3 linked regions of the Cricetulus griseus genome follow. The protein of the gene in region 1 interacts with the protein of each later gene in a biochemical or structural test. Links are inferred from orthologs where the notes say so. Each region holds a gene or a part of one and is shown in the gene's direction. Other genes may lie near its edges.

What was found.
Region 2: of the proteins of Tlk1 (region 1) and Asf1a, one has a biochemical effect on the other in vitro, tested with the Homo sapiens proteins (3 studies listed by BioGRID). The link is inferred for Cricetulus griseus from reciprocal best matches to the Homo sapiens genes TLK1 and ASF1A.
Region 3: the proteins of Tlk1 (region 1) and Mbp form a complex in vitro, tested with the Homo sapiens proteins (2 studies listed by BioGRID, with this or other methods). The link is inferred for Cricetulus griseus from reciprocal best matches to the Homo sapiens genes TLK1 and MBP.

What each region holds. Positions count from the first base shown.
Region 1 is NC_048599.1:104,455,738-104,459,387, forward strand, and holds part of Tlk1 (serine/threonine-protein kinase tousled-like 1), read left to right. Parts: intron 1-767; coding exon 768-878; intron 879-978; coding exon 979-1,115; intron 1,116-3,650. UniProt on the Homo sapiens protein: Rapidly and transiently inhibited by phosphorylation following the generation of DNA double-stranded breaks during S-phase. This is cell cycle checkpoint and ATM-pathway dependent and appears to regulate processes involved in chromatin assembly.
Region 2 is NC_048595.1:255,436,297-255,439,946, reverse strand, and holds part of Asf1a (histone chaperone ASF1A), read left to right. Parts: intron 1-2,061; coding exon 2,062-2,177; intron 2,178-3,650. UniProt on the Homo sapiens protein: Histone chaperone that facilitates histone deposition and histone exchange and removal during nucleosome assembly and disassembly.
Region 3 is NC_048595.1:233,085,299-233,089,491, reverse strand, and holds the start of Mbp (myelin basic protein), read left to right. Parts: upstream 1-1,248; 5' UTR 1,249-1,378; intron 1,379-1,509; exon of another isoform or gene 1,510-1,636; intron 1,637-1,642; exon of another isoform or gene 1,643-1,767; intron 1,768-4,193. UniProt on the Homo sapiens protein: The classic group of MBP isoforms (isoform 4-isoform 14) are with PLP the most abundant protein components of the myelin membrane in the CNS. They have a role in both its formation and stabilization.

The sequences.
Region 1 (3,650 bases):
AAGTGAAATTCCCAGGCTCTTCTCCAGACCTTTTGATTTAGAAAATTTGGGGGTGGGGTATCTGAGCAGGCCACAGTAGTAATTCTCTTCCTGTAATGGCAGGGTAGCCAGACTCTGTGAGTTAGAGAGAGGCCTCCTCTGTGAGCATATAGCTGCCTATTCAAGGAGTTCTGGAAGTAGGTAATTGACTCAACAAATTACGGTATTGTCCCTGTTCAGTAGAGAAAGTGGTATGAGAGGTCAGGAAGTGTGAGAAGAAATTCACATTCCTCTTGAATGTGTTACACACATGATATACCACATTTTATTTTTTAGCTGAGGTAGATTATACTACTTCCACTTAGAAATAAAGGAACTGGGTGGGCGGTGGAGGCACATGCCTTTAGTGCCAGCACTCAGGAGGCAGAGGCAGGTAGATTTTTTTGAGTTTTGAGGCCAGCCTGGTCTACATAGTGAGTTCCAGGAGAGCCAGGACTACACAAAGAAACCCTGTCATGAAAAAACAAAAAAAGAAAGAAAGAAATAAGGGAACTGAACTCAGATTCAATTTATGTAGCCAAAATTACATACCTTGGTATATATATGTGTATGTCTAGAATGTGTACATAAATTTTCTGTACTTTCTCCTATAAGGTTAAATTAATGTTTACTATTAAATAGACTTTTGGCATTTTTCTTATCTATATAATTTATTCAAACCACTAAAATGATTACTAAGATTTTCATGTACACTGATTATATACCTTTCATTCTCTACCATGTTGTAGGCCAACTGTGATCTCAGGCGGCAGATAGATGATCAACAAAAATTACTTGAAAAATACAAAGAACGATTAAATAAGTGCATATCAATGAGCAAGAAACTTCTTATTGAAAAGGTGAGTTAGTACTAAATTTTCCTTTCCCTTAGTATTTTGCTTTGCCTTGCATGCTTTTAAAATTTGAATGGTATAATTGATTTTTCCCCCCTCATTTCAGAGTACTCAAGAAAAATTGTCAAGCAGAGAGAAGAGTATGCAAGACCGGTTACGCCTTGGGCACTTTACAACAGTTAGACATGGCGCTTCTTTTACTGAACAGTGGACAGATGGTTTTGCATTTCAAAATCTTGTGAAGTTAGTAATGGTTACATTTTTAAAATTTTATTTTTAATTATGTGTATGTGTGTGTGTGAGAGTGCAGAGGCATCAGAGCTGAAGTAACAGGCGACTTTGAGCCACCAGATGTGAGTGCTGGAAATTGAACTCTTGTCCTTTGGAAGATTAATGTATGTAATTAAGCCCTGAGCCACCTCTCCAGCCCCATTGCTGCATTTTTAAAAATTAGTGATTTGGATTCTCATTACTTTAAAGAATTATAAATTTGGAATTATGTTCAGCATCTCCTTACTATTTGAATTTATAAAACTCAGCAAGCTACAGTATTTAACCAGAAGTCTTACATAAGTAGCTTTCATCTAAAGAGTACAATGTGTATTTTCCTTTAAAAACAACAATAACAACAAAAAACAAGCTCTCAATAGGTTTATTTAGCTTTTGTTGGAGACAGCTGTGCTGGCTATTAGCTTATCACAATAAAAGACAGAATCTCTGTAAACCTAATGAGTTTGGGGTTTAATTCTTTGGTTAGTTAAAGGTTAACATGTAGTATATGTGATCATAATTAAGATACTGAATAGCTTGATGATAATACAAAAATAATATTGTGAGGAAGATAAAATTTTGATAGTTAAGATGGACAGATATTATTTATACTTGAGCTAAAATACTGAATGTAAAAATAGAGAGCAGGAAATGGATTTGAGATGAAAACCATAGCCTTTAATATTTTGTGAGCAAAAATCTCTACTTCTAAACTCAGCACTGACTGTCCTACATTAATGTTCATAATCTAAAGTATTAGGGGCTGGAGAAATGGTTCAGTGGGAGAGCACTGGATCCTCTTCCAGAGGACCCAGGTTCAATTCCCAGTACTTACATGGCAGTTCACAGTCATCTGTAATTTCAGTAATTTTCTTTTGGCCTATGCAGGCCTCTGATGCATGTGGTATACAGACAAATATGTGAGCAAAACACCCATACACATAAAGGAGAAATAATTTAAGAAATAAAATATTATTAATTATGCCAGTAGTTACATGCTCTTATAAAAATCAAAATCATTAGCATAGCCTATATTTGTTAAGCAATGATTGAAGACTTACTCTGTGTTGTTAACAGTGTGTTCACATTCATTGTTTATAATCCAACGTGATTAGAAAATGAGAATTGAATAAATGAAAAGTTAGACATGTTAATGAATAATCTCTGAACCAGTTGTGATCCACTATATATCTGTCCCATTAAGGTTTTACTTGCCACTAGGCAATTTATGTGTACTTAGAGCTTCTTCTGTAATATAGTTACAATGTACTTTTTGATTGTTTTTGTTTGGGGTTCTGTTGGTCTGACTGAAATTCTCACAGGTAGTGGACTGGAACTCTACCACGGTGCTGCATCCCTGCTCCTCAAATTTACTCTTGATTACTTAAGAGCATGTTAGATTATTCCTAAATCCAAATGGAAACAGAGCTAACTTACCATTCTTTGAGAATTTCACTCATGTCTTAGCTCTGCTCCCTCACTCAGGCCACAGAAAAGAAATGTGTGTGCAAACGAATCCTTCAGCCACACAGAGCTCTGGAGTCCCTGTTTGGGGGAGGGAAGGGAAACATTTGGCTTGCTCTAAATCTCAATAGCATGACCATGTAGAGCTATAACATTTTCTTTCTTGAATGATAGAAGACCTAAAAGGAACATGGTTACTATCAAAATAAACTTAATGTGTTGTAGCGAGGTTACCATATGTTCCTCTGTTGGCTGTTTAGATGGCTCATCAGGTAAAGACACTTGCACCAAACCTGATGACCTGAATTCTATCCCTGGGACCCACACAGTGGAAGTAGAATAGACTCCTAAAAGTTATTTTCTGACCTTCAGACATGTGTTCCCCCAACTTTTTGATGCAAGTTTTGCTCTGTAACTTTTTTTTTTGAAGATTTTTATTTATTTATTATGTATACAGTGTTCATTCTGATAAAGTATCTATAGGAATGGTATTTGCTGGTAAGGACAAGGTACCATGAAACTATTTGTGGCCACACACTTGTCTAGAGGTTTAGGGGACATCTTATTTAAAAACTGTGTGAAGTGAGACCTGTAGGTTGTTTTGCTTCACTAGAGTAGGCTGCAAGGGGCTAATGAGATGTCTGTGTTGTGAAGAGTCCTTGGCTGATCTTCAGAGCACCTAAGGGCTAGAGTTTGGTTCCTAGCATGCAGGTGATGGCTCACAACCTTTTGTAACTCTAGTTCCAGAGGAGCTGTTACCCTCATCTGACCTCTACAGGCACACTTGTGATGCATGTGCATACATGTGTACATACAGCAACACTCAGTTGGTTGTGTTGATGTACACCTTTAACCCTAGCACTCGGGCGGCAGAGGCAGGTCAGCCAAGGCCACACGGTGACGACCTGTCTAAAAATCAATGAACAAACCACTTATACACATAAAATAACTAAGCAAATATTTAAAGATTTTAAAAAAGAGTGGGACCAAAAGAATACAGGTTTAAATTATGTGTATGATGTATTTTTTCATTTTTTAATTTGA
Region 2 (3,650 bases), on another chromosome or scaffold:
ATTGCTATGCCTGTACAAGTCTGATTAGCCTCCCTACAATTTCTAGGGTTTAATATTTGCAGTGTACCAAAACTGAGCCTGTGGCTTTATATTTTAAAAGTTCAGGCCTATTCTGATTGCAAAGACTTTATACTTTCTCCTAGACTACAGATTCCCAACAGTGTAATTAACTTAAAATTTTCTGGATAACACACCTCTCATCACACATGGAAATACTTTCTGTCTGGGATTACCATGATTAAATAGAAAAGTTAACTTTTTAAATAAGTGAGTAAATTCCAGCTAGTAACTTGTAGTGCCACAGGACTTATCCTTAACTTCCTAAACTCAGAAAGGAAAACTGGCTTTATAAACAAACTAATAAATAAGCATTCGATGGCATTAAAACCCAGTGTGTGCCCCTTCTTGAGTTACTGCTTGTACTTACTGAGGCTGGATTATCTAGCTCTCCACTGCCAGTTTTTACCCACCTTCTGTGTTCTTTAATTTCATTAGTTCACAGCTAGAAAGGGGCAGAACTTACCCAGTTACTTGTATTTATTTTAAAGCCAAGGCTTTTGAGTAGCAGCAGCCCAACTTGAATTCTAATTCTGATCTGTAAGCAACGTGAATTTTTAGTAAATTACTTAGCTTCTCCCAGTCTCAGCTTTCTTGTTTATATAACACATGTACAGTATGTGTGTGCTTGAATGATCTATCTGTATAATAAAGCATTTTTGTAAAGTGACAAAGCCCATGCGAATACTTTAGGTCACTTAGTAGCTTTTCATATACCCTTCTTTAGTTTCTTCATTTAGCTTTTGGATCACTTCCCTCATTGGCCAATAGCTCCTAATATTTTAATTGATTCTTCATCTTCCCGATCTTTTGGAGAGTCCATAGGCTCAGTGCTTAGGAATCCCATTCTTTTCCTTGTCTTTATGTATTATTGCCTATTTTCTATTCTTTAAGATCGGGCCTATGTTGTATCCACACTGAAACATCTACTAGACATTCCAAACACGTATAAAACTAACTCCTGATTATTTTCTCCTTTATACCCAAAAGGAAAAAGAGAGTGCCTACTGCTGCTTCCATCCCCAGACTTTTTACCTAGGATATAGTGCTTTACTTTACCCTCATGGTCACCATAGTGAACCACACCACCATAGTCTCCATCCTCAGTTGTTGAAACAGTCTCTTAGGGGATGCTTAGTATAGTCTCACTAATGAAGCCAAACATAGACCACACATGCTCAACACCTTAGGAGATATCTGTCATCTTCACCCTTGTTTAAAGAACAGATTCCTTCAAAAAGAAATGGTTTTATGCCTCTCTGTTCTCCATAGACTTTTCTAAAATGGTGCTTAATGAAATCTAGATTGAATCACAAGCCAAGTCTCAGGTTGTACTTGAGTGTATCATGTCCCTGCTGGTTGAGGAGGTGTAAGGATCTTGGTTTCCTCTTGTGGTTTTAAGAATGTATGGAGGAAAGGAAGAAACAGCTCCACTATATCCTTAGCTACAGTTGGAATAGTGGTAATATGTATCAGTGGTAACTATAAGTTAGTATAAACCATCAGTTATTTCAGCCAGCAAGAGGGAGGAGATAACAGCCTGACAAATTTACATCAGATGATGAAGCCCCTTACTTCTGAACCACAAGTAAGGTTTGCTGACCATTTCCCACTCTGGGTTCTGTGTTGATTTCTCTTTCACAGGGCAGCCTTTCCTCAGTGGTGAGGCAAGCCTGGGAGACTGCACAGTAAATCACCTGGGCAGTGGGATTAGTGTTCCAGGTATTCTTTGAGGAGCTCTCTGAGTACTGTGCCATTTGCTTTATGAGTACTTGGGGAAACTTAGCATTTCCCCAGGTTTTGTTCAGGTTTTATTTGGGAGGAGCCCTCTCCAAGGACAAGAGCTTCATGAAAGAGAATTTGGAAAGGTTACTGGAATGAAACAGGAATTCTGGTAAGAAATTCATAAGGAACATTTCCATATCTTTCTAGATGAGGACTTTATCATCTGTTAATATAATTGCTATTGATAAATACAATAATGCTTTTGGTTTTTAACCCTAGACTTGGAGTGGAAAATTATCTATGTGGGCTCTGCCGAAAGTGAAGAATACGATCAAGTTTTAGACTCTGTTTTAGTGGGCCCCGTTCCTGCAGGAAGGCATATGTTTGTTTTTCAGGTAAGATTACTCTTAAAATGTATATGTCAAATATGTGTCTTGTGGTGATATTTTGTTTATGATCTAACAAATAAAGCTTGCCTGAAGACCAGAGGAGCAAAGCAGCCAGCCACTAGAGTGTTCTAACCTCTACCAATATTCAGACCAAAGGGGCGATCATGTCCTTTGATTGCATCTCCAGACTGCACTGCTCCTCAGACTGCTAAATGAGCTCCTGTCTCTCCCATTTTATATTCTTCTCTAGAGCTGGGATTAAAGGTGTGGGATCCCGAGTGCTGAGATTACCTTTGTGTGAGCTGTTTTTCTTTTAGATAGATTCAATCTCATGGCCTTGAACTCACAGAGATCCTTCTGCCTCTCTCTCCCGATTGTTGGAATTAAAGGTATGCACCACCACTGCCTGGCCTCTCTCTATGGCTAACTAGTGTGGTTAGCTTTGCACTCTGATCTTCATGCAAGCTTTATTTGTTAGATCATGAACAAAATATCACTACAGTTTCTAATAGACTAAATGATCTCAGAGCTCTTGATCCTTTTTATGTTAAGTAATTTTACTTCGTCTACTCCCACTTTTAGTCTGCTCTGTTTCAGGCAGTATCTGTCATAAAGGAGTTCTGTACTTGAGACTGTGTGCAGAGATGTTAATGTCTTTACTATTGGTAACTAGTCAGACCACAATACACCTTAAACTGTATTGTGGCGCTCACAAGATTGATTTGGGTTTGTCCTGTGGAGTAGTTCTTCAAGATGAAAGCATCCCCAAATGTGTATTCAGATGGTGTGCTAGTTAGTAATACTCGCCTGCTGATGTAATTTCAACAACCTCATTTTGACATAGTAACTGCAAGGCTAAGAAATGTTAGCAGATGTGACTTGAGCCATTGGGATTAAAGTCTGGCGCTTCACTGAAGCTGCTTTATCTAGGTTTTTATAGAGGACTGCTGTGACATGTCCATTACCCGTTAGAACTTGAGAGTATGATTTCTGCGAATATAAATCATGTTCTTAAATACGTCTGACAGTATTTAAGTCTGTGCCTAAGCTTGAGACATTATCTTCTGTATAACTGTTATTTCTCTTACTTTATATTAAATTGCCATATTAAACTAGTGACTATTTTCAATTATCCATGCTTCTTAGAGGAAGCTATTTATAATACTGCAAGGAGTAATGAGTTAGCTTTTAAATAACTATTAATTTTTGTTAGAAGTATTTCTACCTAACCAACCAAGTCTTACTGCAGGCAGAATCCAGAACAAAAATCTACTTCCTGTCCCTGACCTCTGTTTCTCCCTTCACAGACAGGACAGTTTCAGCGAATACTCGTTTTGAAGAAATCCTTTAGAAATGGGTGAGGGGGTTGCTTAAGAGCACACTGTAGAGAAGCTACCTCTTAGATACAGAACTGAGGAGCTGGGACTGAGGGTTTGCTGTTAGCAAACCTCAAATAATTTAGTGTATATAAACATGGCA
Region 3 (4,193 bases), on another chromosome or scaffold:
AAGAGTCTAATTGGATCAGCCATACCTGCCACTGGGAAGGAAACCTGTTGTTCCTGGGAATCAACAGAAGCCTTGGAGGGCATGAGGCTGTTGTTCCCACTGTGGCTAGGCAGCTCCCAGATTCACTGACACCTGCAGGGCAGGGACATTGGGACACATCTGTCTCCTGGCTGCTGACATTGAGTTTTGATGCCTGGAATGGGACCCAAAGTTCTAACATTCTCTGATGTCCTGAGCATCAAGCCAGCTGTGAGCACTGGACATCCCTGTCCTGGGTGGCCCTCTTGCTTCAAACAGGCTTAAAGTCACTCCATCTTAGGTTGGACCAGGACCTTTCCCCTGCTTTTCTATCCTTACCTCCAAATCCCAGGACCTACATCCTCTCCGACTCCCCCTCGTATACCATAGCTCCTAGGTGCACGGACTAGTTAGGTGTCTCTACACTACTGTGAAAATAGTTGTCTTAGAAAGACTGGCATTTGGAAATAGTCACAAGATCCTCCACCTTCCATGAGGAGGTGAAACGCCTGGAAACTCCCTAGGAGCCAGCTCTGAGACTTCCTGTCCTCTGTTCTTTGCATGCATAGTGTGTGTCCCTAGGTTGTCTGATTGATACCCTCATAATGTTTATCTCACGAAGAACTAGAGACTTACTCAGCGTGGTCCCCTTCCACTAGTTCCTCCCACCTACCCTGAGTCAGGCTGATGGAGTCAAAAGATCCATGTGGCAGCAGGGAACCTGTGTTCAAGTAAGCACAGTGGGGTCCTCAGTGGCAGAAAGGGAAATTTCCTTGCTGGAGTCACTAGCCTCCTTCGTGACAACAGACGTCCTGGGCCCTCTAGCCAGCACCTGCGGTCTCAGCTCCAGCTTCAGGCCCAGAACACAAAAACTACCTCGGGTCCGGCTGACCTTCTCATCCGGAACAGGTGCCAGGGATCAAGGTAACCCATGGTACAGGGCGAGCGATGCCAATTAGACCTCTCTTCCGAGCTCCCGCTGTCCAGGCTTCTGAAGCAGGAAAGGTTCCGAGAGCAGCGGTGCGGAGCGTAGGGCGGTGACGAGCAAAGCCCCGCCCCGCGGCTCGCAGGGCTGCCCTGCCCCTGGGTCCCCGCTTGTCCTCCGCCCTCCCAGTGGCGCGCATTTACCTGCTTGCAGGCAGAGGGAGGCGGGGCGGGAGCGGGGTGCGCGCCCGTCCCCGGAGCAGCCGCTGTCAGTCACCGCTGCTGAGCGCCAGCGAGGACGAGCCTCTGGCCCAGGCGGCCCGCGCCTGGCGACCCGAAACACAGTACCCGCGGCCCAGCGACCCCGAGCCCAGCGTCGGGCCCCTCCTGCCGGGCTCCCGGGCGCCCATTGGCTTCCAAGGCGCAGGCAGCACTGGTGAGTGATCGTCATCAGGGACGCGCGGGGCGGCCCTGGAGCCTTTGTCTCCGCGCCCCTAAGAGCGGGAGACCTCGGCACCGAGCCTGACTCTCAAAGAGACGAAGGGAAGGGTGCTCGGTACTGGCACCAGAACTCTGATCCCTCCCCAGGCCAGGAGCGCCCGGGTCACAACTGACCAGAGGAGCAGGTGTCCCCGCAGGTGGCAGCTGGGCGACCTCTCGGACCGAAACCACGTCGGCAGCCCCATCTTTCTTGGCAAGTGGTGGACGCAAGTGTAGACTCAGGTCCACAGCGGTGGGGACTAGGAGCCTGCAGGATAGCCCGGAGTGGTCTCCGGCCAGGCCTGGGGACCCCGGGGTCGCTGAAACTCGAGCGGCCTAAAAATGGTGAGGGGAGGAGTTTAGAGGTGGGAGGTGACCTCGGTCTAGAGAGACAGCCGTCCGCGTGCGGAGAGGGGTCCTGATGGGCTCCGAGGGCGCCCAGGGGCCCACCTAAGCCTGCCTTGCCTGCTAACCACACACCTGCTGGCCCTCGTGCGAGCCCTGCCCTGCTCTGCCCTTCCCCACAAGGAGAAGCAGTTCCTCTTCGAGCAGAGGGCGGCGACAGGCACTTGTCCAGGCTTCCGCCTTCTCCGGGCCTGTCTCGGGCTCCTAGGCCCTCTCCCACCCTGCCCACCTGCTGGCCCCCGCGCTGTGTCCAGCCCGGCCCCGTCTTCCCGCCCTAACTTGATCTCTTGGTCCTGCTGAAGCGCCGGGTCCCAGTAGCCCCCGGGGGACAGTCCTCGTGTTCATGTTCTGCTTTGGTGTGTTGTAAACGCCTCTGGTTTTTAGGGGATGTGCGTACCCTGTGTGGGATTTTGAGGTGTTTCTCTAGTCCCCTGATTTGGGAGGTGGAGCGAGGCTTGGACAAGGGTTTGTGATTCTCTGAGGAATCAGTTCTGACACTTGACGCTTGCCAGCAGGACAGCTGCTGAGCCACACAGCACACCACACCACATGAGAGTGGATCTGTGCCGTTGGGGACAGTCTTGGAGCAGGGCGTGAGAGCCTGTCGGGTGGGAGGCATCAGACACTGGACAGGCATCGCCTCTGCCTGCGCAGGACACCGGGCATGCAACTAGAACATTTCTTTAGAAGAAGGCAACCTTAGGGAGGTCTCATTTAAGACCTGTGGCTTTGGAGATTATGTCTAGATGAGCTCAAAGGACCACTCACTCACTACTCATGGCTCTCCCAGAAGAGCTTCCCCTGCCACCGGCACCTCTGGGATGGGTGGGGGCACCCGTGTTAGAGGATGGGATCCTGGGAAGAGGCCAACCCAAGTTGGAGTGCAGGATAACCACATAACAGGTGCACAGCCCCCCAGCTCGTGTAGACATTCCCAGATTCTCGGTTGGATAAACAGAAACCTGAGAGAGAAAATAACAGTTTAAAATAATCGTGAATGTGAGGTGCAACGCCTAAGAATTTAATTGTTCTGAAATGCGTACTTTTATCGACTTGAGATTTTTTTAAAAATGTGTCAAATCCACTTTTGATGTCTGTCTAGATATGAAGTGTTGGTTCTTGGTGGAAATGGTGTGTGTGATTTTTTTAAAAAAAATCTGTGAACACAGAAAAAGAACATAGCCCCATCTTTCAAGGATGTTCCAGTTTAGCCTGGATTTTGGAGTGCTAAAGCTTATTTTGTTTGAATCTTGGTTTCCTCTTCAGGCTCTTTATGTTTTTAATGCTTAGATTATATTTATTTACTTATGGGTATAGGTGGGTGAACAAGTGTGGAGGTCAAAGGATAACTTGCAAGGGGTCAGCTTTCGCCTTCCACCATGTGGGTTTCGCCCCTCTCCAGGTTCTTTCCAATGTCAGCAGCTTCCCCTGCCTTCCCAATAGCAGGTGGCATTGACTGACCACTCACCAAACACCAGGCTCGATACTGAAAACTGTTGACTCCTGCATTTAAGTTTTAACTGAAGTGGGAGAGCTTCATCCCCCCCCCCTTCCTTTCTTCTTAAATGTCCACCATTAGGGGATGGAGAGATGGCTCAGTGGTTAAAGATGCTCCCCTGTCCTTGTAGGGGGCCCTAGTTAAGTTCCCAGCACCCACATCAGTTGGCTCATCACTGCTTGTAACTCTAGCTCCTAGGAATCCGACACAGTCTTCTGGACTCTGAGGGTACCAGCTTTTACAACATGCAAATACCCCCACCCAGATATACATATGACCAAAAGTAAAATTTTAAGGCCACAACTAGCTAGTGGCCATGCCTATTAAAACATCCAGGTTCCATCCCCCAGGTGGCCTGACCATAGAGACACCCATCTTAGTTGGTATCCTTTGCTTAGCTTTCTTTATTGATAAGGAAGAAAAGCAAGTGTCCCTGTGACCCAGCGTCACATTAATAAGCTATTGCTTGCAAAGACAGGTTCTTACCAGTCCCCCAGAGCACACTAAAGGAATCTGGGAGGTCCTATGCTGCAACAAAGAGATAACACATCAGAAGTCCCTGTGCCTCCCAAGCACATGGGAAAACTGCTAGAACATTCTTCCATGAAGGCTTTAAGTCTCTATTGAAATCTGTGGTGGGCAAATTTTAGCCTAGAAACAAAGTCCATAGGAGATGCTTGTTAGCGATTCTGAAGCTACCAGGAGCTACACTCAGGAGGTGTAAAGATTAAAGATGCCGCACTGTGGCTCTGAAAGTTCTTTTGCTCTGGGCTTTGTGAGCTCTAGGGGAGGAGAGAAAGGGCAGGGGAGTGGATGGTTGGGACGTAGGTAGTAGAGCACTTGCTTAGCGTGCCCAAGGTCCTGAGTT